Linked DNA regions of Struthio camelus. The protein of the gene in region 3 purifies or fractionates together with the protein of the main gene of each other region. This does not show direct contact. Links are inferred from orthologs where the notes say so. Each region holds a gene or a part of one and is shown on either strand. Other genes may lie near its edges.

What was found.
Region 1: the proteins of GEMIN4 (region 3) and SNRNP70 purify together in Homo sapiens (affinity purification with mass spectrometry; 5 studies listed by BioGRID and IntAct, counting the BioPlex papers as one, with this or other methods). This does not show direct contact. The link is inferred for Struthio camelus from reciprocal best matches to the Homo sapiens genes GEMIN4 and SNRNP70.
Region 2: the proteins of GEMIN4 (region 3) and DDX20 purify together in Homo sapiens (co-immunoprecipitation; 7 studies listed by BioGRID and IntAct, counting the BioPlex papers as one, with this or other methods). This does not show direct contact. The link is inferred for Struthio camelus from reciprocal best matches to the Homo sapiens genes GEMIN4 and DDX20.

What each region holds. Positions count from the first base shown.
Region 1 is NW_027182627.1:9,730-16,668, forward strand, and holds the start of SNRNP70 (U1 small nuclear ribonucleoprotein 70 kDa), read right to left. Parts: upstream 3,102-6,939; 5' UTR 2,978-3,101; intron 2,131-2,977; 5' UTR 2,120-2,130; coding exon 1,973-2,119; intron 1,876-1,972; coding exon 1,813-1,875; intron 741-1,812; coding exon 686-740; intron 584-685; coding exon 519-583; intron 431-518; coding exon 368-430; intron 1-367. UniProt on the Homo sapiens protein: Component of the spliceosomal U1 snRNP, which is essential for recognition of the pre-mRNA 5' splice-site and the subsequent assembly of the spliceosome. SNRNP70 binds to the loop I region of U1-snRNA.
Region 2 is NC_090965.1:9,049,446-9,057,152, reverse strand, and holds the start of DDX20 (probable ATP-dependent RNA helicase DDX20), read right to left. Parts: upstream 3,003-7,707; 5' UTR 2,923-3,002; coding exon 2,727-2,922; intron 2,628-2,726; coding exon 2,533-2,627; intron 2,169-2,532; coding exon 2,000-2,168; intron 1,709-1,999; coding exon 1,594-1,708; intron 1,512-1,593; coding exon 1,369-1,511; intron 986-1,368; coding exon 847-985; intron 393-846; coding exon 334-392; intron 1-333.
Region 3 is NC_090957.1:18,138,294-18,145,357, forward strand, and holds the start of GEMIN4 (gem-associated protein 4), read left to right. Parts: upstream 1-3,967; 5' UTR 3,968-4,032; coding exon 4,033-4,042; intron 4,043-4,140; coding exon 4,141-7,064. Other genes in the region: GLOD4 (glyoxalase domain-containing protein 4), read left to right, coding at 429-515, 754-867, 955-1,041, 1,555-1,620. UniProt on the Homo sapiens protein: The SMN complex catalyzes the assembly of small nuclear ribonucleoproteins (snRNPs), the building blocks of the spliceosome, and thereby plays an important role in the splicing of cellular pre-mRNAs.

The DNA.
Region 1 (6,939 bases), on a different chromosome or scaffold from region 3:
ACCGAGCCCCCTGCCCTGGTCCCGAATTAGCCGCTTGCCCCCCCAGGACCTCCACCGAGCCCCCTGCCCTGGTCCTGAATCAGCCACTTGCCCCCCAGGACCCCCACCGAGCCCCCTGCCCTGGTCCTGAATCAGCCACTTGCCCCCCAAGACTCCCACCGAGCCCCCTGCCCTGGTCCCGAATCAGCCGCTTGCCCCCCAGGACCCCCACCAAGCACCCTGCCCTGGTCCCGAATCAGCCGCTTGCCCCCCAGGACCCCCACCGAGCCGCCTGCCCCAGCCCGAACAACCCGCTTGCCCCCCAGGACCCCCAGCGAGCCACAGAGGACCTCAGAGCCCCCCCAGGACCCCCCCCCGGCTCCCTCACCCGCTTGATGGGGCCGTAGACCTCGAACTCGCGTCTCAGCTTGGACTCCGTCGTGTCGTAGTTCTGCGGGGAGGGGAGAGCGCGGGCTGGGGGGGGGGCGACGGCGGAGCCCCCTCCCCAGCCCCCTCGCAGCCCCCAGCCCCGCACTCACCACTCTGGCCACGAAAAGGGTTTTGAAGGCGTCTCCCTGAGCGTTGGGGTCGTTGTGGGGGTCCCCTAGGGGCAGGAAAAAGGGTGGAAAACAGTCGGAAAACGGCTCCCGGTTGCCCCCCCCCGACGGAAAAGCCGGAAGCGTCCGTCTGTCCCGGCGCCACTTACACATCTTGAGTTCGTTTTCCACCTCCTGCTGCCGCCGCTCGATCTTCTCGCGTCTCTGCGGGGAGCGAGAGGGGGTCGGAGAGGGGAGCGCGGCGCCCGCCAGCCTCCAAACCCCGCGATTTTGGGGGTCGGTGGTGCTTCGGGGTCCCTCGGCGGGTGGGGAGAGCCCAAAACCCCAAGGCCGAGCCCCACGGCGGGCACGGCGGACCCCAAAACCCACACAGGTCACGCAGAGAGCGACGTCGAGGTGAAGCAGCCCCAAAATCCAACCCGAATCCCCAAAATCCCGCGATTTCGGGGGGCCGACGGTGCTCCGCGGCCCCTCGGCGGGCACGGGGGGAGCCCCAAAACCCCACGGCGGGCACGGGGGGAGCCCCAAAACCCACACAGGTCACGCAGAGAGCGACATCAAGAAGCAGCAGCCCCAAAACCCAACCCGAATCCCCAAAATCCCGCGATTTTGGGGGGCCGACGGTGCTCCGCGGCCCCTCGGCGGGCGGGGGGAACCCCAAAACCCCACGGCGGGCACGGGGGGAGCCCCAAAACCCCACGAAAGGCACGGGGGGAGCCCCAAAACCCACACAAGTCACGCAGAGAGCGACGTCGAGGTGAAGCAGCCCCAAAATCCAACCCGAATCCCCAAAATCCCGCGATTTTGGGGGGCCGACGGTGCTCCGCAGCCCCTCGGCGGGCGGGGGGAACCCCAAAACCCCACGGCGGGCACGGGGGGAGCCCCAAAACCCCATGACAGGCACGGGGGGAGCCCCAAAACCCACACAAGTCACGCAGAGAGCGATGTCGAGGTGAAGCAGCCCCAAAATCCAACCCGAATCCCCAAAATCCCGCGATTCTGGGGGGCCGACGGTGCTCCGCGGCCCCTTGGCGGGCGGGGGGAACCCCAAAACCCCACGGCGGGCACGGGGGGAGCCCCAAAACCCCATGACAGGCACGGGGGGAGCCCCAAAACCCACACAGGTCACGCAGAGAGCGACGTCGAGGTGAAGCAGCCCCAAAACCCAACCCGAATCCCCAAAATCCCGCGATTTTGGGGGGCCGACGGTGCTCCGCAGCCCCTCGGCGGGCAGGGGGGATCCCCAAAACCCCACGGCGGGGCGGGCGGCACCTACCTTGCGCTCCATGCGCTCCTCCCGCGTCTCGGCGCGGGTCGGCGGCGGGGCATCGCGAGGGTCCTGCGGAGACGGGGGGGGGGATATAGGGGGTGATATAGGGGGTGGTATAGGGGGTGGTATAGGGGGGCCAGGCGGGGGGCCGCGGGGCCGGGCGCACCTCGAACTCGCGGATGTAGGGGGCGATGCCGCTGTAGGGCTGGTTGTGGTGCTTCTCGTGGGGCAGCTTCTCCAGGGGGGGCAGGTAGGGGATGGGGTCGCGGGGGGCGAAGAGGGCCAGCAGGTTGGGGGGCAGGAACTGCGTCATTTTGGGGCTGACTGCGGGCAAAAAAACCCTGTGACTGAGTGGCGCCCCCCCCCCCAGCCCCACGCAGCCCCCCTGGACCCCTTTTTCCCACACCCCCAGCCCCACAGAGCCCCCCCAGCCCCACACCAGGCTCCTCCCCGCGCTCCTAACCCCACACAGCCCCACAACAGGGCCCTTCCCCAAACCTACAGCCCCCCCGGCCCAACAACAGGCCCCTTCCCCACACCCACAGTCCCACCAGCCCCACAGAGCCCCCCCCAGCCCCACACCAGGCCCCTCCCTGCACTCCTAACCCCACACAGCCCCACACCAGGCCCCTCCCCGCACTCCCGGCCCCCCCAGCCCCACACAGCCCCCCGCCCGGCCCCATAGAGGCCCCCCCCCGCACCCCCGGCCCCACACAGCCTCACACCAGGCCCCTCTCCGCACCTCCGGCCCCCCCAGCCCCACAACAGGCCCCTTCCCCACACCCACAGCCCCCCCCGGCCCCACACAGCCCCCCCGGCCCAACAACAGGCCCCTCCCTGCACCTCCAGCCCCCCCCAGCCCCACACATCCCCCCCCAGCCCCACACCAGGCCTCTTCCCCACACCCACAGCCCCCCCCCGGCCCCTTACAGCTCCCTCGGCCCCACACAGCCCCCCCCGGCCCCCCACCAGGCCTCTTCCCCACGCCCACAGCCCCCCCCGGCCCCACACAGCCCCCCCAGGCCTCACACAGCCCCCCCCGGCCCCCCACCAGGCCCCTCCCCGCACCTCCGGCCCCCCCGGCCCCACACCAGGCCCCCTTCCCGGCACGGCCCCGGCCCCACACCGCCCCCCCCACCCCCATCCCCATCCCCCCCCCACGTGACCGCACCCGCCGCACCGGCCCCCCGGGCGCTCGCGCTCCCTCCGCCTGCTCCGGCCTGGCCGCTGCGCGCGCTCTGCGCCTGCGCGGCCGCATCACCGCGGCCCCCGGATCGCGCCGCCGCCGCCGGGACTCGCTGCGGGCGCCGGCGGCTGTGGGCGGAGGAGGGGGGGGGGGAGGGGGCGGGGCCCGCGCGCGCGCGCCGCTGGGGACGCGGAACCGCCGCCGCCAGGCAGCGGATCCCTCCGCCGCGCCGCTGCCGGCAATATAGTCCCCACCCCCCCCACCCCGGCCGCTGCCGCCGCCGCCGCGCTGTTGTCAAGGCGACGGGCCCGCCCCCCCCTCCATAGCAACCTGAGGGCGGGAGACCCCTTCCTTAGCAACCGGCGGGAGGGGGGGGGCCCTGGGGGCGCCATGGCGACCGGGGTGGTGACCTCTGACCCCTCCTCCATGGTGACCGGGGTGACGACCCCTGACCCCTCCTCCATGGCGACCAGGGTGGTGACCTCTGACCTCCTCCATGGCGACTGGGGTGGTGACCCCTGACCTCCTCCATGGCGACCGGGGTGGTGACCTCTGACCCCTCCTCCATGGTGACCAGGGTGGTGACCCCTGACCCCTCCATGGCGACCGGGGTGGCGACCCCTGACCCCTCCTCCATGGTGACCAGGGTGGTGACCTCTGACCCCTCCCCATGGCGACCAGGGTGGTGACCTCTGACCCCTCCTCCATGGCGACCGGGGTGGTGACCTCTGACCCCTCCTCCATGGTGACTGGGGTGGTGACCTCTGACCCCTCCTCCATGGCGACCGGGGTGACGACCCCTGACCCCTCCATGGCGACCGGGGTGACGACCCCTGACCCCTCCCCATGGCGACCGGGGTGGCGACCCCTGACCCCTCCATGGCGACCAGGGTGGTGACCCCTGACCCCTCCTCCATGGCGACCGGGGTGGTGACCCCTGACCCCTCCTCCATGGCGACCAGGGTGGTGACCTCTGACCCCTCCATGGCGACCGGGGTGGTGACCTCTGACCCCTCCTCCATGGCGACCGGGGTGGTGACCTCTGACCCCTCCTCCATGGTGACTGGGGTGGTGACCTCTGACCCCTCCTCCATGGCGACCGGGGTGACGACCCCTGACCCCTCCATGGCGACCGGGGTGACGACCCCTGACCCCTCCCCATGGCGACCGGGGTGGCGACCCCTGACCCCTCCATGGCGACCAGGGTGGTGACCCCTGACCCCTCCTCCATGGCGACCGGGGTGGTGACCCCTGACCCCTCCTCCATGGCGACCAGGGTGGTGACCTCTGACCCCTCCATGGCGACCGGGGTGGTGACCTCTGACCCCTCCTCCATGGCGACCAGGGTGGTGACCTCTGACCCCTCCTCCATGGCGACCAGGGTGGTGACCCCTGACCCCTCCTCCATGGCGACCGGGGTGGTGACCTCTGACCCCTCCATGGCGACCGGGGTGACGACCCCTGACCCCTCCATGGCGACCAGGGTGGCGACCCCTGACCCCTCCTCCATGGCGACCGGGGTGGTGACCTCTGACCCCTCCCCATGGCGACCAGGGTGGTGACCTCTGACCCCTCCATGGCGACCGGGGTGGTGACCTCTGACCCCTCCTCCATGGCGACCAGGGTGGTGACCCCTGACCCCTCCTCCATGGCGACCGGGGTGGTGACCTCTGACCCCTCCCCATGGCGACCAGGGTGGTGACCTCTGACCCCTCCATGGCGACCGGGGTGGTGACCTCTGACCCCTCCTCCATGGCGACCAGGGTGGTGACCTCTGACCCCTCCTCCATGGCGACCAGGGTGGTGACCCCTGACCCCTCCTCCATGGCGACCGGGGTGGTGACCTCTGACCCCTCCATGGCGACCGGGGTGACGACCCCTGACCCCTCCATGGCGACCAGGGTGGCGACCCCTGACCCCTCCTCCATGGCGACCGGGGTGGTGACCTCTGACCCCTCCCCATGGCGACCAGGGTGGTGACCTCTGACCCCTCCATGGCGACCGGGGTGGTGACCCCTGACCCCTCCTCCATGGCGACCGGGGTGGTGACCTCTGACCCCTCCTCCATGGTGACCGGGGTGACGACCCCTGACCCCTCCATGGCGACCGGGGTGGTGACCTCTGACCCCTCCTCCATGGCGACCGGGGTGGTGACCTCTGACCCCTCCTCCATGGTGACCGGGGTGGTGACCTCTGACCCCTCCATGGCGACCGGGGTGGTGACCTCTGACCCCTCCCCATGGCGACCGGGGTGGTGACCTCTGACCCCTCCTCCATGGCGACCGGGGTGGTGACCCCTGACCCCTCCTCCATGGTGACCAGGGTGGTGACCCCTGACCCCTCCATGGCGACTGGGGTGGCGACCCCTGACCCCTCCTCCATGGCGACCGGGGTGGTGACCCCTGACCCCTCCATGGCGACCGGGGTGGTGACCTCTGACCCCTCCTCCATGGCGACCGGGGTGGTGACCTCTGACCCCTCCTCCATGGCGACCGGGGTGGTGACCCCTGACCTTCCCCATAGCAACCGAGGTGACCACCTCATCCCCTCCCTAGCAACCAGGGTGACGACCCTCCTCCCATAGCAACAGCCACCTTATCCCTGCCATAGCAACCAGGGTGACGACCCCCCCATAGCAACCACAACACTGTTCCTGTCACCTCTTAGCAACCAGGCAAACAGCCCCCCGTCACCTCCTAGCAACCGCGTGACAACCGCTATCCCCCCCACGGCAACCAGGGTGACAACGTACCCACAACAACCCTCATCTACCTTTGTCTTAGCAACCAGGGTGACAATTCTCACCATAGCAACCATGACCTGTCCTTGCCCTAGCAACCGCGGTGACGACCCCCCCTCAGCACCCGTGACCTGTCCCAGCCATAGCAACCGGGGTGACAACCCCCCCCCAGCAACCCCAACAACAGTCCCGTCACCCTGTAGCGCCGGGTGACAACGCCCATGCGGACGGGGCCCGGACGCCTGGGTCCCTCCCCCACCCCCGCTATGGGGCCGGGTGTCACGGCTGGGGGGGGGGAAGGACACGGGAGAGGGCCCAGGCGTCCGGGCTCCCCATCCCCCCCCCGAACCGCCGTCGCCACCTCGTTATTTTTAGCCCGCGGGGTGTTTTGGTGGCGGGGGGGGGGGGAACCCGACACCGTCGGAGCCGGGCGGGTGTTTACGGGACACAGCCGGCGGCGGGACGGCGGTCGGGGACGCCCCGGTGACGGGGGGGGGTGGGGGGACGGACGGTGGTGGGGGACACCCGGGGGGCGGCGGTGGGGGACAACCCCTCCCCGGGGCTGGCGCGGTGACGGCGGCGGGGACCCCTGGGTGACGCGGGGACAGCGGACGGTGACAGGCGGACGGCGGCGGTGGGGATCCCTCGGTGACGACGGTGGGGGGTGGTGGGGGCAGGGGACCTCCAAGGACTTAGCGGGTGACCCACGGGTGTAGGAGGACACCTGGGACCTCCAAGGACTTAGGGGGTGACCCACGGGTGTAGGAGGACACCTGGGACCTCCAAGGACTTAGGGGGTGACCCACGGGTGTAGGAGGACACCTGGGACCTCCAAGGACTTAGGGGGTGACCCACGGGTGTAGGAGGACACCTGGGACCTCCAAGGACTTAGGGGGTGACCCACGGGTGTAGGAGGACACCTGGGACCTCCAAGGAATTAGTGGGTGACCCATGGGTGTAGGAGGACACCTGGGACCTCCAAGGCCTTAAGGGGGTGACCCACAGGTGTAGGAGGACACCTGGGACCCACAAGGACTTAAGAGGGTGACCCATAGTTGTAGGGGGGCACCTGGGACCTCCAAGGACTTAGAGGAGGTCCCAGGTGTCCCTCTACATAGGGGCTTAAGGGAGTGCCCTATAGCTGTAAGGTGGCACCTGGGAGGGTCCCTGTCACCAGTGGGGTCCCCCCATTACTCTCACTAGGGAA
Region 2 (7,707 bases), on a different chromosome or scaffold from region 3:
GGGGGGATTTAAATGCAACAACAGCTTTCCAAACAGACACTGCTTGAAGATGCAAGTGTAATAAACTTTCTCTTTAAAAATAAATCAATGCACTTGTCTAGATATTCATATAATGACTGTCAGCAACAGATTAAAAAGTAGAAAAGCTGATCAATGGAAAAATTAGATTAATAACATGCAAGTCTTTAAAGACCTGTGAAGATTCAAATACTATTCTTTGCTATCCAAACAGAAGTCTTACAAACCAAGCTTTTAAGCTGAATATTCCCATTTTAGATCAGATGTATGCACAAACTTCAGCCTAGAGAATCACAAAGTTCTGAACAGACTTACCTGAAATGCACTCAGCAGGAAAGCCTTTGGATGTCAGTATCTCAGCTAGATGTTGAGCCCTAACAGGACATACACAATGAAAACTAAATAAAACTACATGCTTAGCAGTACCAAGACAGTGCTAGGCATAACAGTCAATGTGTCCTTTTTAACAACATGCTGTTCTTTACAGGCAAGGATTACATTCCAAAATTGTCAGTCTCATCTTATGTCCAAACTAGTCAGTCACCTTACAGATTTTGCATCTGTCAGACCAGACTGGGAAAGTACGACAGGATATTAGTTCTCACTGCAGTCTAAACAACGTATGAGGTAACTTCATGCCAAAACATTCCTTTCTTTTCAATACTTCACACTGCTATATTTTACATGTTGTGACTGTATTTCAGATCTGAAATTTGCATTTGGCTTCAGCTGTGTTTTGAGACCTTTATAAAAGATGCTACATGACTGCATATTATAGCCACTGTTTTCAAGCATAGTTTTCTTCAGATTTCATTTCAGATTTATTACCTGCTATGCAAATTTGAGAAGACTAAGGCTTGATTAAATGGAATCTTGCTGAAGAGCTCCTGTAAGTGCTGGACTTTTTCCTCAAATGTCTTATGAGGAAGTGGATGGGAATTGACGATTTTGTAATACTGCTTCAGCCCTGGGCAAGGGGGAAAAAAAAAAGGCCATCAGATTAATGGCTTCAGTAAAAACATGCAATGTGCTATATTGTTGTCAACTTAAATGTAATTGCAGCTAGAAGAAAGACTAAGTTAGAACAAAAACACAGGTACCAAATAAGAACCTACAGGACAATTTTTCTTAAAAGAATGGAACATTTTTGAAGTATAGGAAAACCAAAAAAGTAACTTTATCACTGGTGTTTTAAATACAGCAATATTGCGAATAAACACTTAGTGAACTAACCAACTTATCTATAAAGGGAAATGATAAGGCACTGCAAGTGTTAAGGCATATATTTTGGTTTTATTATACTCCTAATAATCTATTTCATATAAATGTAAATGAGTTTCTTACACTTACCAACGAGACTTGGCTCAGTAGGGTTCAACCTCACAAATGTTGGCTCTCTCATATACCTGGTCAAAGCACTAGCTAATGATTCAGGATAAGTGGCTGAAACAGCCAGCATCTGCTTATTGGCCGGCAGCGAAGAGTAAATCCAACTACAAGAGAAGGACATTTACAAGAAAGACTCATAAATATGCATCTAATCTGCTAAGTGTGGGGGATAAACATTTTTCTTACTTAATTTGTTCCTGAAAGCTGCCTTCTTCTAGAAGCTTGTCTGCTTCATCAAGAATGAAGAGCCGGATACTGGCTGTATTTAAGTAATCCAACTCTATGAGTTGTTTTATCCGACCTACAAAAGATAAAAAAGTAATCTAGGCTTCACAAATATTAACTGAATGATTCTAATCAGGAGACTTATAATATTTAATTTTTTTAATATTAATTTCAATAAATTCTTTTTAAAAGGTTTATTTAAAATAATGTCTCAATAAAAACATTTGGCCTAATTTTTTTTTTAGCAGTGGCCTTTGAGATTGGCCCCATTAGTTAAAAAAAAAAATCAAGATTTCAAAAGCACCAATTATTGTAGTGTGAAAAGTGCGTCAGACTGTATCTGAAGTACACTGAAGCATGTCCATACCTGGAGAGCCAACAGCTATGTGGCATTTCCTTAGCCTTATTTTGTCCTGGTTCAAAGGAGTTCCTCCAATGAAGACATGGCACTCCAAACCTTCCATTTTTATTCCGATGGCTGTGACGACAGCATGAATCTGCACAGCAATCTCTCTTGTCGGAGCCAAGATCAGAATCTTTAAGGGACAAAGAATTAGCCTTGAAAGCAGCAGAATGGTTTAGAAGACAGAAGTACAGCAACCAGTCTTGACGCTACCAGCTTCATGATTTCAAACACCACGTTCTATATAAAAACCTACTAAGAGTTCAAACTCGTTCCTAACTACTAAACTCACACAGCAGCGGTAAAAACTGAAGTAACTTTTTACCACAGCACATGTCACTCATGAGGCAAACTAAAGGATGGCACGTTACAGTAGGGGTGGAAGCAGGAGTTTCACAGATGCGAACGCGCCATCTTCCAAGGCCACCTCAGCGGTTCCCGCTCCCGAGGTGGAGGGAAGGCCCGACCCCGGCAAGGGCCCCGGGGCCGGGGCTCACCTGCGTCGCGGGGTTCTCCAGCAGCAGGGCGTCCAGAGCGATGGCGGAGAACACGCAGGTTTTGCCGGTGCCGGACTTGGCCTGCACGATGAGATCTGGAAGAAAGCGGCCCGAGGGGGTCAGCAGCGCCGCCCCAACGCCCCCTCTCCCCCCCGCTGCCGGCTCGACGCCCCGGCCCGGCCCCGGCCCCTCACCCAGGCCGCAGCGCCCCAGCGGGATGGCCTTCAGCTGGACCGGCGAGGGCCTGTGGAAGCCAGCCGCCTCCAGCCCCGCCAGCACCGGCGCCGACAGCAGCAAGGAGCCGAAGTCGCTGGGGCCCCCGGGCACCAGGACGTCGCGCGTGCGGAACCGGCCCTCAGGAGGCGGAGGCGAGCCCGCGGGCGCCGCCATCTTGCGAGGCGGGACGGCGAAGAGGCAGCGCGGCCCCAGACGCGCCTTTACGCGCCGCCCGGGCCTGCGCACGCGCCGCGGGGGGAGAGGGGCGGGGCCGCCGGGCGCCAGGGGGCGGCGCGGATTGGCCGCCGGGGCCCGTTTGAGGGCGGGGCCGTTAACGGTCGCGGCGCGCCGCGCGCCCCCTCACGGAGCGCGGCCCGGGCCTGGCGGCGGTGCGGGGAGCGCGGAGGCTCCGCCGTGGGGCCCCGCAGCCTCCCGTGCCCACGGCTGCCAGGCCCGGGCCGGTTAGCGGTACCCGCCGCGGCCCCGTGGCAGAGCGGGGGCGGCCGCCCCCTCGGAGCACCCAGGCAGTGCACGCTGCCGCCGGCGAGGTTTTTGGCGTAAAAAACCCTCCAGAATTAAAATTCTACGAACTGCAAAAACAAATACAAAAAAAAAAATCGTTCTCCGTGTGGCCACGTGACAGAAATGATTGATTACACAATTTAGCCATGTGGCGTGATCCCTCGGGGCAAAAGCTGCGTTTGCTTTGCTCCGTCTGAAATCGCAGGCTCTTCATTACTATCCAAAGCAAGGCAATAAATAATGCGCTCGGCCTGGCGTACAGTTTATTTCAGGCTGATAGGCGCTTTACCAAAAATTTGACTCTTGTGATTGATGTGGTGGAAAAGGATATTGCCTTCTTAAAGACGAGTGGGTGGGATTTAGATCTTAGAACAGTCCCTGTAGGAAAACTCGAAATGCCCCGAGTTACCTGCCACAGCAGATGTTCCCCTCGGCTGGCAGGTACGTCAAATGGGACCTGGAACAATCTGTATGCAGTTTTAAATGACTTACCTTGAATTTTCAGTAGAGTAAACCACAGATGAATTTCTGGTTTACCAAAATCAGCAGAAAACGATCCCACTGATTTTGACTGAATTTCACATTCCAAGCGCGAATACTAATTCTCACCATGGCTCTATCTGTGCAGCATGTTTGTATCCTGTTTTTCTAAGGCCATTCTCCACTAACTTTTTCTTATCTAGTACCACTGCTTGCTCTCAGTAGGGATATCTCTTTCCTTCTTTTTTAAGACTTCAGAATCCACTCCTTATTCCTTAACGTCGTTGCTCCCTCCTCTGCCTCAGCTTCCCTATATGATGCTGCACGCTGTCATCTTTTCCTCCAGCAGCATTTTCTTCCTCATTTTTTCCCCCATTCTGTCTACAAGTGATCTTAGTATCTGATTCTGTCTACAAGTGATCTTTAGAAAAATTGTTTCTTGCTTATAGGTGAAGCTATGAGATAACCTTCAAACCCTTCTAACACCACTGCATTTCAGAGTTATCCTAACACGCAATATGAAGCTTCGTGGTCTGTACAATATTTGAAATAGACTTTGTGCAGTAAAATCTTACTGACTGGTGTATTTTCACATATTCCCATAACACAGGTAACCCACCCATCTCTGACTCTGATGAACATGCCATTCCACAGGTAGCTGGTCACCGACACAGCATATCTAGTTGAGTTTTTCCTAAACCTCGTAGTTCAGTCATAATAAGGAATAAGGTACCTTAAAACAGATGGAAACAGATACACGCTCCAAGAGAGGACAAGGTGCTTGCAAACGAGTTATCTGTAAAAGATCAGGATAGGGGACAGATTATGCCTCCCTGCCAGTCTACGGCAGGTTTGATGCGTTTAGTCCAGAAGCAGACTGTCTGCTTTGGGGGCTAATAATTACAACAAATCTTTGCAGCTAGCTTCCTGTTTTCATTTTGTTTTGTTTTGTTTTCTCCATTGACATTAGCATTTCCTGTTTACTGCAATAATTAGGGCTGTGACTCCCCGCTGTGTATCTCGTAGGTGCATTTAGCCACATAGAGGCAATTAATGATTATGTCTAGGAAAAAGTGATGCTTTAGATGGAGACAGATAAACCTATTCAGCTAAGCAACCTTTCATCCACTCCTGAGATCATTTGTCTTAGGAACAGCACAACAGCTTAACCTTACAAATATTACAGAGGATGAAACCTCTATAATACCTGAGCAGACACACTACAGTGAGATCTGGAGGCCTTGCTGCAAGACCAGTGCAGGAGCTTTAATTAGCCAATGAGTCTGAACCATAGAGAGAAAACGTGGCCCAAGGCATGTAGGAGGATGAACTGAGCACAGGGCGGAGTGAAAGAAGGCACCAGGCCAGAAATGGGAGGAGGAGGACACACGAGAATAGTCAGAAGAGAGGAGTGAGCATAGAGCGAGAGGGAGTCATAAGAGGAAATGAAGGCAGATGGGTCAGCAAAGGAATGATGTAGAAGGCTGCGTAAGAGGATGAGAAGTACAAAACTGATCGCAGTGCCAAAACAGCTTCAGCAAGCTTCTTGACAGGAGGTGCCCTGAGTATCCATAGCTGTATTAGTTGGGGGAGAAAGCAGTCACCAGTAATCTCTAAGCTATCCTACTGTAAGAAAATGGCACGAACATTGTGTTCTGACCCCTCTAGTTTCAGCCTTTGTTCTACCACCCTGACAACAGAAATGAGTTTCTTGTTAAACACTCTAAGTCTGGGATGCAGTTATATTGTGTACAAAAACAAGATCTAAAAGTCAAAGTGCTAGGAAAAATTAATAGTACAGCATTAACTTCAGCAAAGGCCAAATCTATTAATCTCTTGTATATGCATTACTTACTACCTTCTGTAGACTGCTTATTTTAAATTGTGTGTGGTTTCATTATACATATCAGTTTTTATTGTCATAGCCCTTCAGAGGATCTGGACATGCAGCTCCCATTCGTTGTAAGGGGATGTGAAAAATCTCAACAGTGGCTTCCAGTGTATGAGTACATACACTGGTTCATTATTCCTACATTGCCAGGCAGCCTAAATGAATTTTAAAGGCTCTTAGCGTAGTACACTCTCTGCGACTCCTTTGCAATTCCATCATATTACTGATGGGGAAAAAAAGTCTGTTTTTTTTTAATGATCTTTTTACATGAATATTTGAGTACCAACCAAGACTGGGGCCCCATTGTGTCAAGCACAATACAAAAAAGAATATACAGTTTCTGCTTTGGAGAGCTTATCTCTACGAGGTCAGGACAAACCAGATGGTAGGGAGGAGAACTCTGCCACAGAGCAGAGGTAACAGGATAGCTATTCACAAGCATTCTGTTAGTTCCAATTATTTTTCAATTTTTAGGTGGATATTCCCAGTTGGTCCTAAAGGGGAAACAAGTCTCTAACATGAGAGAATTGTCTCCGGATAAATCTGGGAATGGAGACAGACAAGGAGACCTGGACATAACAAATGGTTTGATTAGAGACAGCCTCTCATAACCCTTTTAAATTGATCTGATTTGAACAGACAATGAAGAGCAGTGGGAAGTATCTGCACCCTACCTGGGGGAAGGACAGGGAAGAAGTGATAAAGCAACTGCAGCAGGCATGGATATAGCAGCAAGGATAGCAGGCATGTTGTAATGCAACTCAGGTGATTTGGTTACAGAAGTCATCGTTCTCTGAGATGCATTGTTAATAGGACATTGAGATGCACTACCTTAATTCCAAAGATGCTGCTGTTTATTTAATTTTCTCAATCTCCGTCAGATGCAGGAGGGAGAGGTTCCAAACCATCTCAATGTCTATGCTGAGTAGCACTATGACACCACGACTGGCAGATTTATTGTTCCTCTCCCTTTGTTTTTGGCCCTCACTGGTTGTGCTGTGTCAAATTGAGGACATGCTCCTCATGCATGAGGGGGACATGCAGTCCCCCTCATTCCCCGCAATGTGCATACAGCCTGTAGCTCAAAGTTGGCAGATAGGCTCTTTTGCATGATTTCTCAAGTAAATCTGTGGACAGTTGCTAATTCACATTAATAAGCCCTCCCAGCCATTTCATGTGGTCTACTGTGTTCCGCAGCACCTGATGTTTCACATAAGCTCCAGCTCCAGAAGCGTCTGCAGGTCATGCGTACCTGCTCAGGTACAAAAACGAGCTTAACTCTGCCTCTATACCATGCCAGGAGCCCTGGTAGATGATGATGTTATCGAGGCATGACTCAGGATGAGACTAGACTGTCTGTGTCTGATAGACCAGATGCTCAGATCCTAAAAGCTTTCCCTCTTGAGCTATCTCAGTTCATCTAACGAAAGGTTTTGCTTCTCCCTTAAACCTTACACCTGTAGAAGATTATGACTCTACTGCTACTAACTTTGTTTTAAAATCTCTGAATATATATATTCTGCCATGAGTCAAAGGAGTGCCTTTGCCTCTGGGTTTCAGATCCAGAAAATACACACGGTGTCTCACAGTAAAATGCGAGTTATCAGGTGCATTTTGATTTAATCAAATAGTTTTGTAGAACAAATAACTCACAGTCAAAACTACAGAGTGGTGCAAACTGAGATACTTCCAGTCTCTCTGTACAACCATGCAAATGTGCTAAGGGCTCACTATCTGACCTCTGAGGCCCCAGCTCAGTTTGCTGCCCTGTACTCGTACATCGCACAAAGCTCCATGCAAGAGGGCACTGCCTGTGTGCAGCAGCTGGCAGGATTATTGCCTGGTTCGCGAGTCACAGCATGTGCACCGTGACAGTCTTTTGCTGCATTTGAAATGGAGACAAATGCTAATTCCCAGGAACTTGCTCTTCTTCCTGCAGGGAAGACGACTGCTTTCTGTCCCAATTCTATCAGAAACTTTGCTCTCTAGATGAGGGGGCCTGAAAGGTTCCAAAAATCATAAAGAGTTTCTCCCATCCTGGGCACAGACAGGTAGATATAGACAGA
Region 3 (7,064 bases):
AAGAGAAGAGATTCTCACGGTTGTTAATGCTTCTGGGTTTACATTTTAAATGATTTGTTAAAAGCATTTCTCCTTTGTGAATTATTGCCCAGAATGCTTATACAAATAGAAATCAGTGGTACAAGTTGACTGTTCCGTTGAGACACTTACCTGCAAGTGAACTTACTTGTTCAATGTTTTGCAAAGAAAGGCTGAAACTGTCAACAATTCTCAGTCTTTCCTACTTTGGATTGTTTGTGTGTGTGTGTGCTTGTGTGCACTTAATTCATTTTTTAACCAAAAGCTATGGCTTGCTCTGGTAGTTCTAACTCATTGGGAAATATGTATGTGGGTAGTTTTGACATCATCGGTATCAGTGAAAAGCTGGAGTTAAGTGTAGCGCTGAGAATAGTGTCCTTGCAAATTAGGCTATTTTTTTCCTCTTCCAGTGTAAATTGGAGTTGAAGAACGTTGGAGGAGCAGTGGATCATGGGACGGCATTTGGGCGGATTGCCTTTTCCTGCGCAAAGGAAGAGGTAATCTTTTTTCTCTTCCCCCTTTCATTTGGCCAGCTGGCTACTAGGAGATTATTTTCTGGTATTAACAAAATATCTCAGATGTGAACAAAGTAACACTGAACAGATGTTCTGTTCCTATTTCTTGCAGTGAGAACACAATGGAGAAACGGGCTAACAGGAAACTGTAAACGAGAACAACCTGAATGCATCTGATCTTCAACTGACTAGGGCTGGTCTTGTTTCTTTTCTGTTTCAGTTGCCAAACATTGAAGCACTCATGAAAAAGGAGCATCAGAAAATTTTAACACCTCTAGTTAGCTTGGACACACCTGGCAAAGCCACAGTGCAAGTGATTATTTTGGCGGATCCTGTGAGTAATATTGGCAAGACTGACAGATTTGATTTAAATATCTGTCTCCCAGTTATCTAACTTACTGTGCTGTTAAACTTGGTTTAGGATGGCCATGAAATCTGCTTTGTGGGAGATGAAGCATTTAGAGATCTGTCCAAGGTGGATCCTAATGGTGATAAACTGTTAGATGATGTAAGTAATGCTGTCTATGCATGAGTTTTCATACTGATCAGTTAGACGCCCAGTAGAATTTAATTTCCTTTCCAAGGAAGCTCCCTTTAGTTCCAAATGGAGTTTTTTCAGAGAAGCAAGTCATGTGGTGTTTTATCTCAGTCTCCTTTCCAGCTAAGGAAAGCAAATCAATTTTTAGAGTTCACTTCTGTGTCCTGGCTAGTTTTCCAGCCTTGTTCTCAGGGCAGCCAAGAGGTTGTGCATCTTGCTGGACCTGTCAAACAACACTTTGGTGCAAGTTACTGCAGAAAATGATTTGTCAGCTGCAGTAACATCCCTGCAGTTGAAGATCCTTCCGCGACAGAGAGGCACTGGCAGAAACCATGAGGTTTCCTCAGCAGAATAGCTTGCTTCAGAACTAGATTGATTATAAGGATGCTTTCTAAATTTGTGGGGCAGGCTGGTGAATGTCAGCAACCAGGTGTCTGGCTGAATGGGCTTCTGTTCTAAATACTAAAATTTTTCTTTGTACAGGCCATGGCAGCAGACAAGAGTGACAAATGGTTTGCAGAGAAAAACATGAAGAAGGCTTCTGCTTAGTTGGAGAATAAGACTCGTCTGATCATTTGTGCCTTGGTTGCCATCTGAGTGAAATGCCTATAATATGTAACGTGTTGTGTTATCCTCTTCAATAAGAGGCCAGTGTAATGCTGGGGGTTTTTTTGAGCTTGTATCTCTTAATGCTAATCTCTCCTTTCCAGTAAATGCTACGTGCTCCTTCAAATGTATGCAAAAAATTGGGTTGTACAGTAAGGAACAGATTGAGCATATGGCTTCAAAAACAGGAACCATGAGTTAATAGGTAGAAAATCTCTCACATTTCTCTATTCCTGTTAGACTTGAAAAGGAGGCCCAGAGTTTCTCCTCTAACACTGCTACAGCTCTCTGATATCTTGTGTAGTGCGCTGTTAACAGCTGTTAGCGTGCTGTGAGCAGCTGTCCTCAGTTAGCCTTCTGCCATGGTTGTGAGTGAATAACGCTTCTACGGTTTTCCTGTTTAATGTCACCAGAGGCAAATTTCTGATGTATTGAAACAAAGGTATTAAAAGATAATTAAAAAGTGGGACCCTAATTAATTGGCTATATTCATTAAAGAATTAAAATAGGAATTAAGTTTGTGGATGAAATGAAAGCTATTTACAGATGTTCTCAAACATTCACTATTAAAGCAAAACGTGAGGTCAATAGTAACATAAGAATATTACGTGGAAAAGGCCTATTCTGTTCCCATTAATGGATGGGATAAGTTAAGGAGAAAATTTCCATGTCAAAAGCTTATCAACAATGGTAGAGTCAGAGAGCAGGTACTATTAAAGCTTATTCTATAATAAATCTGTAGATTCATTAGAATCTGTGGATTTATTAGACTATCTAGTCCTCCAGTTAATTGGGTTTGGCCAACCTGGATTTGCTGCTCAGAAAATAGGTTTTCAGGTAGCTCTGGCCCTGAATATGGCAGCTGTCCTGCTTTGGTGATGAAGTTTCAAGCTGAAGCTGAGGGGGTGTCTACAGAGAACTTGACCATTTTGTAGCTATGATAGCGGACTCTTATTTATTGAGAACAGGGTAACTATCCTGGTGATGCATGTGAATATTCTAGTCTGGAAAATTATTTTCATTCCAAAATCTTTGCCTGGCTTTCACGGTGAAGTATGCACTTTGGAAAGCTGGATGGATTTCTCACTGGGGTCATACTACGTGAATCCACTGGATGTATTCGATCCCGTACCCAGCCCCTGCCTGCGTAGCTGCTCAGCGCAGCACACAGCACCGCACGTTCCAGGCTGGAGCCTGGCTGTGCCTCGGGGGGTGCAACAGCTCCGTGCCTTCCCCTGAGGGGCCAGGAAGTAACTTCAGATACGTACACATGGCTTTGCAGTTAGCTTTGATGTTAAATTACCTTTTGGAAGCAATGGTTATGGGTTTATGGGTTGGAATAAAGTCGCTCTGCTTTTGCTAGTGGAATGAGAACTTGGGAATACAGGGACTCATTACTAGCATTGTTCATGTTCGGCAGGCTAGCTGGCTTTTAATCTTTCTTCATGAAAACCTGAAATAAGTTTTACAGAAAAAAGGAGGCAAAATCAACAGCATTAGCAGTTGTGTATCACTGAGACAATTTAAATGCTTACGAGGAATATGCTGAATTAAAATGGGAAAAAATCCTCAATATGTTGTTTGCGCTTTTTGTTTCATTCGATTAAGCCAACTACTGATCAAGTAAAAATATTACACTTAAATTGTATCTCCACAGCCTGTTGTTTTGAAAACGTGCAATTAAATGAATAAAAGTGCTTTGTGGTGACGATGATCTGAGATCTGTTCTTTCAGCTACCCTGCAGGGCATTCTTATGCAATGTTCTGCCAGTTTTAATGTAATTCTCAACGCCTTTCATGCAAACAAAAAAAATCATTGCAAAGTTGTGTCAAAAGGGTGGGAAAAAAGTTCCACTCGCTGCCTGGCCTGGTGGGAAGCCCAGGCACCGCCCGGGGCTGCACCGGCAGCGGGGGAGCCTTCCCGTGCGCGGGTTTAAACCACGGCAGATGCAGAGAGGAGTTCTTCACGTCCGAAAAGTAGCTTTTAAGTAGCACGACCCCAAATAGATCGTCCAGAGCTGTTAAAGGTTTCCTACTGCCCCGGGGGGGGGGGGGGATGTGACACCCCCCCTGTCCGGGAACCGGCCAGGCGGCGGCGGCGGCGGCAGCGGCAGCTCCGCCGCTCCGCCAGGGGGCGCTGAGGCGGCGGAGCGCAGCGGCGGCAGCTCCCCCGCTCCGCCAGGGGGCGCTGAGGCGGCGGAGCGCAGCGGCGGCAGCTCCCCCGCGCCGCCAGGGGGCGCTGAGGCGGCGGAGCGCAGCGGCGGCAGCTCCCCCGCGCCGCCAGGGGGCGCTGAGGCGGCGGCGGCGCGCTGGCGTCACAGAGCGCGGCGGCGCGGGGCGCGGGCCGGGGCCGCCATGGAGGCAGGTGAGCGCGGGCGGCCGCGGGGGGCGGAGGAGGAGGAGGGGGGGGGGCGTCGGGCCGGGCCGGGCCGGGGTAACGGTGCGCCGCGTGTCCCCGCGCAGGGCCGTGGGGCGTGTGCGAGGAGATGGCCATCCTGCACGGCGGGTTCCTGCTGGCCGCCAAGCTCTTCCAGCCGCGGCCGCTGCGGGAGCTGCGCAAGGCCGACTGGCCGCTGGTGGGGCCGCCCATCGCCGACGCCCTGCGCGAGATCGGCGCCCGCCGCCCCGCCCCGCCGCGCCCCGGCCTCTGGAAGAAACAGGCCGTCGCCATCGTGTGGGCCAAGGTGCTGCTGCCCGGCCCCCCGCCCGCCTCGCTGGACCGGGGCTGGCGGGAGGACGCCTTCTTCTCCGTCGGGCGGATGATCCCCGACGTTAACCACACCGTCCTCTTCGAGCTGGCCAAGGCCCTCAACGTGCCCCGGCTCTTCGTGCAGCTGCTGCTGGCGCTGCCCCGCCACCTGCGCCGGGGCGAGCTGGAGCGCTTGGTGGAGTACGTCGCCAGCGAGACCTCCCCGGCGGACGTCAGCTTCTTCCTGGACGTGTGGTGGGAGGTGATGAAGCACAAGGAGGAGCAGGAGGACGGGACGGCCTCGACGTTCAGCGCTCTCATCCGTCAGCACGGGTCCGAGTCCTCTCCGGACGACGGGCTCCAGCCCCCCAAGAGGTTCAAGAGCGACCCTGTCTCTGTGACTGGCCCGCCGGCTGCCGCCAGCCTGCTCGTGGTCCTGATAGAGGGGCTGAAACAGACCTACAGGAGCATCACCCTGCCCCGCATGAGGTGCTACGCCTTGGCCAACCTGGCGGAGCTGCTCTCTGTGTTCACCGAGCTGGAGCCAGAGGGCAGGTCCCTCCCCGTTGCTGAGTACCTGGACAAGGTCAGCTCCGTGGTCAGCCTCTGGAACAGCGATGCTGAAAGCCGGTACCACCGGAGAGGGCTGGACGAGAAAGTGAGGGAGGCTGAGAGAAGCATGAGCCTCTTGTCCGTCGTCAAGCTCTCTGACGAGGAGCTCTTTGCTGGCTTGGACTTTCTCCGCACCTTGCTGCATGCCTGGGGAGAGGAGCTGCAGGGCACTCTGAACAACTCTGAGGAGCTCTGCTATGAGAGCTACCGGCTCCTTGATACGCTTACCACCCTCAGAAAGAACCTGGTTTGCTTCTCAGAGACTAGAGACCTGAGCGAGGACGAGAAGTCCGTAGTGCTAGAGCTGACACAGATCATCGGGGACTTTCTCAAGAAGATCAGCACCAGTCTGAAGAGCAAGGATTCAGACACCAGCCTTGTCTCTTCAGTTGCCATGACAATCATTGAGCGGAAGCTGGACCGGCACGTGGAGATGTGCTCCGTTTTTGCTTCTGAACAGACCTGGGCCTTTTCAAAGGACTGGGTTGACTGCCTTGTGAAAAACAAAACTCTCTTCCAGAAACCAGAGCTAGTTTTGAAATTGCTGGATACTGTGGTGAACTTTACTGTGTCCTCCCAAGACAGGGAGGCCCGAGAGTTGCAGATGCAAGTGACCAGAGCCATCCTGGAGTGTTACACTGAGCTTTCATTAACTGACAAGAATGAAGTCCTCTCAGGTGTCCTGGCTTCCTGGGGTGGTCCGGGTCTGTCCCTGAACTTGCAGGTTGTCATGGAGGGATTCCAGGAGGATCTGAATGTGACGTTCAACCAGATAACGCAGAGCGTGTCCGATCAAGGCCTGTCCAGGGCTGTGGCTTCTGTGGCCAGGCTCACTCTGCTGTACCCTGAGGCCACCGTGAAGAAGGTTTGTAATCTTGCTGTTGTCAACCTAGGAACACACCAGTTCCTTGCCCAAATCCTCTGCTCCTTCCCAGCACTGAGCTTCCTGGAGACCCACGATGATCCAGGCAGGCCACGCAGTCTGATAGTGAGGTGTCTGAAGGAGGCGGTATGGGGGAAGCTTTCCACAGCGAGAGAAGAGGAACAGTTTCTTGAGTTCTTGGCCTTTCTCATGCAGCCAAGCTCAGCAGCTCCACTTGTGTCACCTGCAGAGGTGACTAAAGCCTTTATCCTTCCCTGTTTGAAATCAGACTGCGCTCAAATTGAGCTGAGCCTGCAGATCCTCAGTAAGGTTTTGGGGATGCAGTCCTATCCAGAAGAGCACTGGATCAAGTCCTGCTACCCATTCCCGCTCCTCCTCAGCCTCTGCAAGCTTCTGGATGGTTACACAAGGTACTGGCATCGGCCCAGGGACCAGCACTTCCCTTCACTGGAGACCAAAGACCTGGTGGTGAACACCCTCTCCCAACTCTGTGAAGTGGTAAGACCAGAAGCCGCCCCATCCCCTGAGGTGTGGGTCCAGTCGCTGGCTTGGCTTCATAGGAAGTTGGCATCACTGGACTGGACTGTTGGTCTCCACCTGAAGAAGCTTTACGGAGACCATTTCAAGAATGAGGTCCCAGAGACGCTATTTGAGATCTGCAAGCTCCCAGAGGACGAGTGGACGTCCCGGCCTTTACCAGCCTACGGGCCGGGCAGCGGGCTCTTGGCATGGATGGAGTGCTGCTGCGTGTCCACAGCGCTCAGGGAGACGATGCTGACGCTCCTCACGGTCAACGTGGACAACCCTGAAGAAGTGAATCTCTTCAGCAAAGGGTTCCTGGTGGCCCTCATACAGGTCCTCCCTTGGTGCAGCCTTAGCGAATGGAAGAGGCTGGCGCATGTGGTCCAAAGCTTGCTGCAGAGGCAAGTCTTACATGTGCCGTACACGCTGGAGTACGTCCAGTACATGCCCCTGCTCAACCTCCGGCCTTTTGCCCACTACCTCCAGTTCTCTGTGCTTTTCCTCCGAGGCTTCCAGCTCCTCTGCAGCTCCAGCTGCTCCACTTGGCTGCCGGCAGAGGCCTGGCTCCACGTGGTCCAGCTGTACTGCAGCAGCCTAACGGACCTGTTGGGCTCCATCAAGAGCACCACGGTGCCCCCCGTGCCCCCCGCCGAGGACATGAACCCCACACAGGAAGTGTCC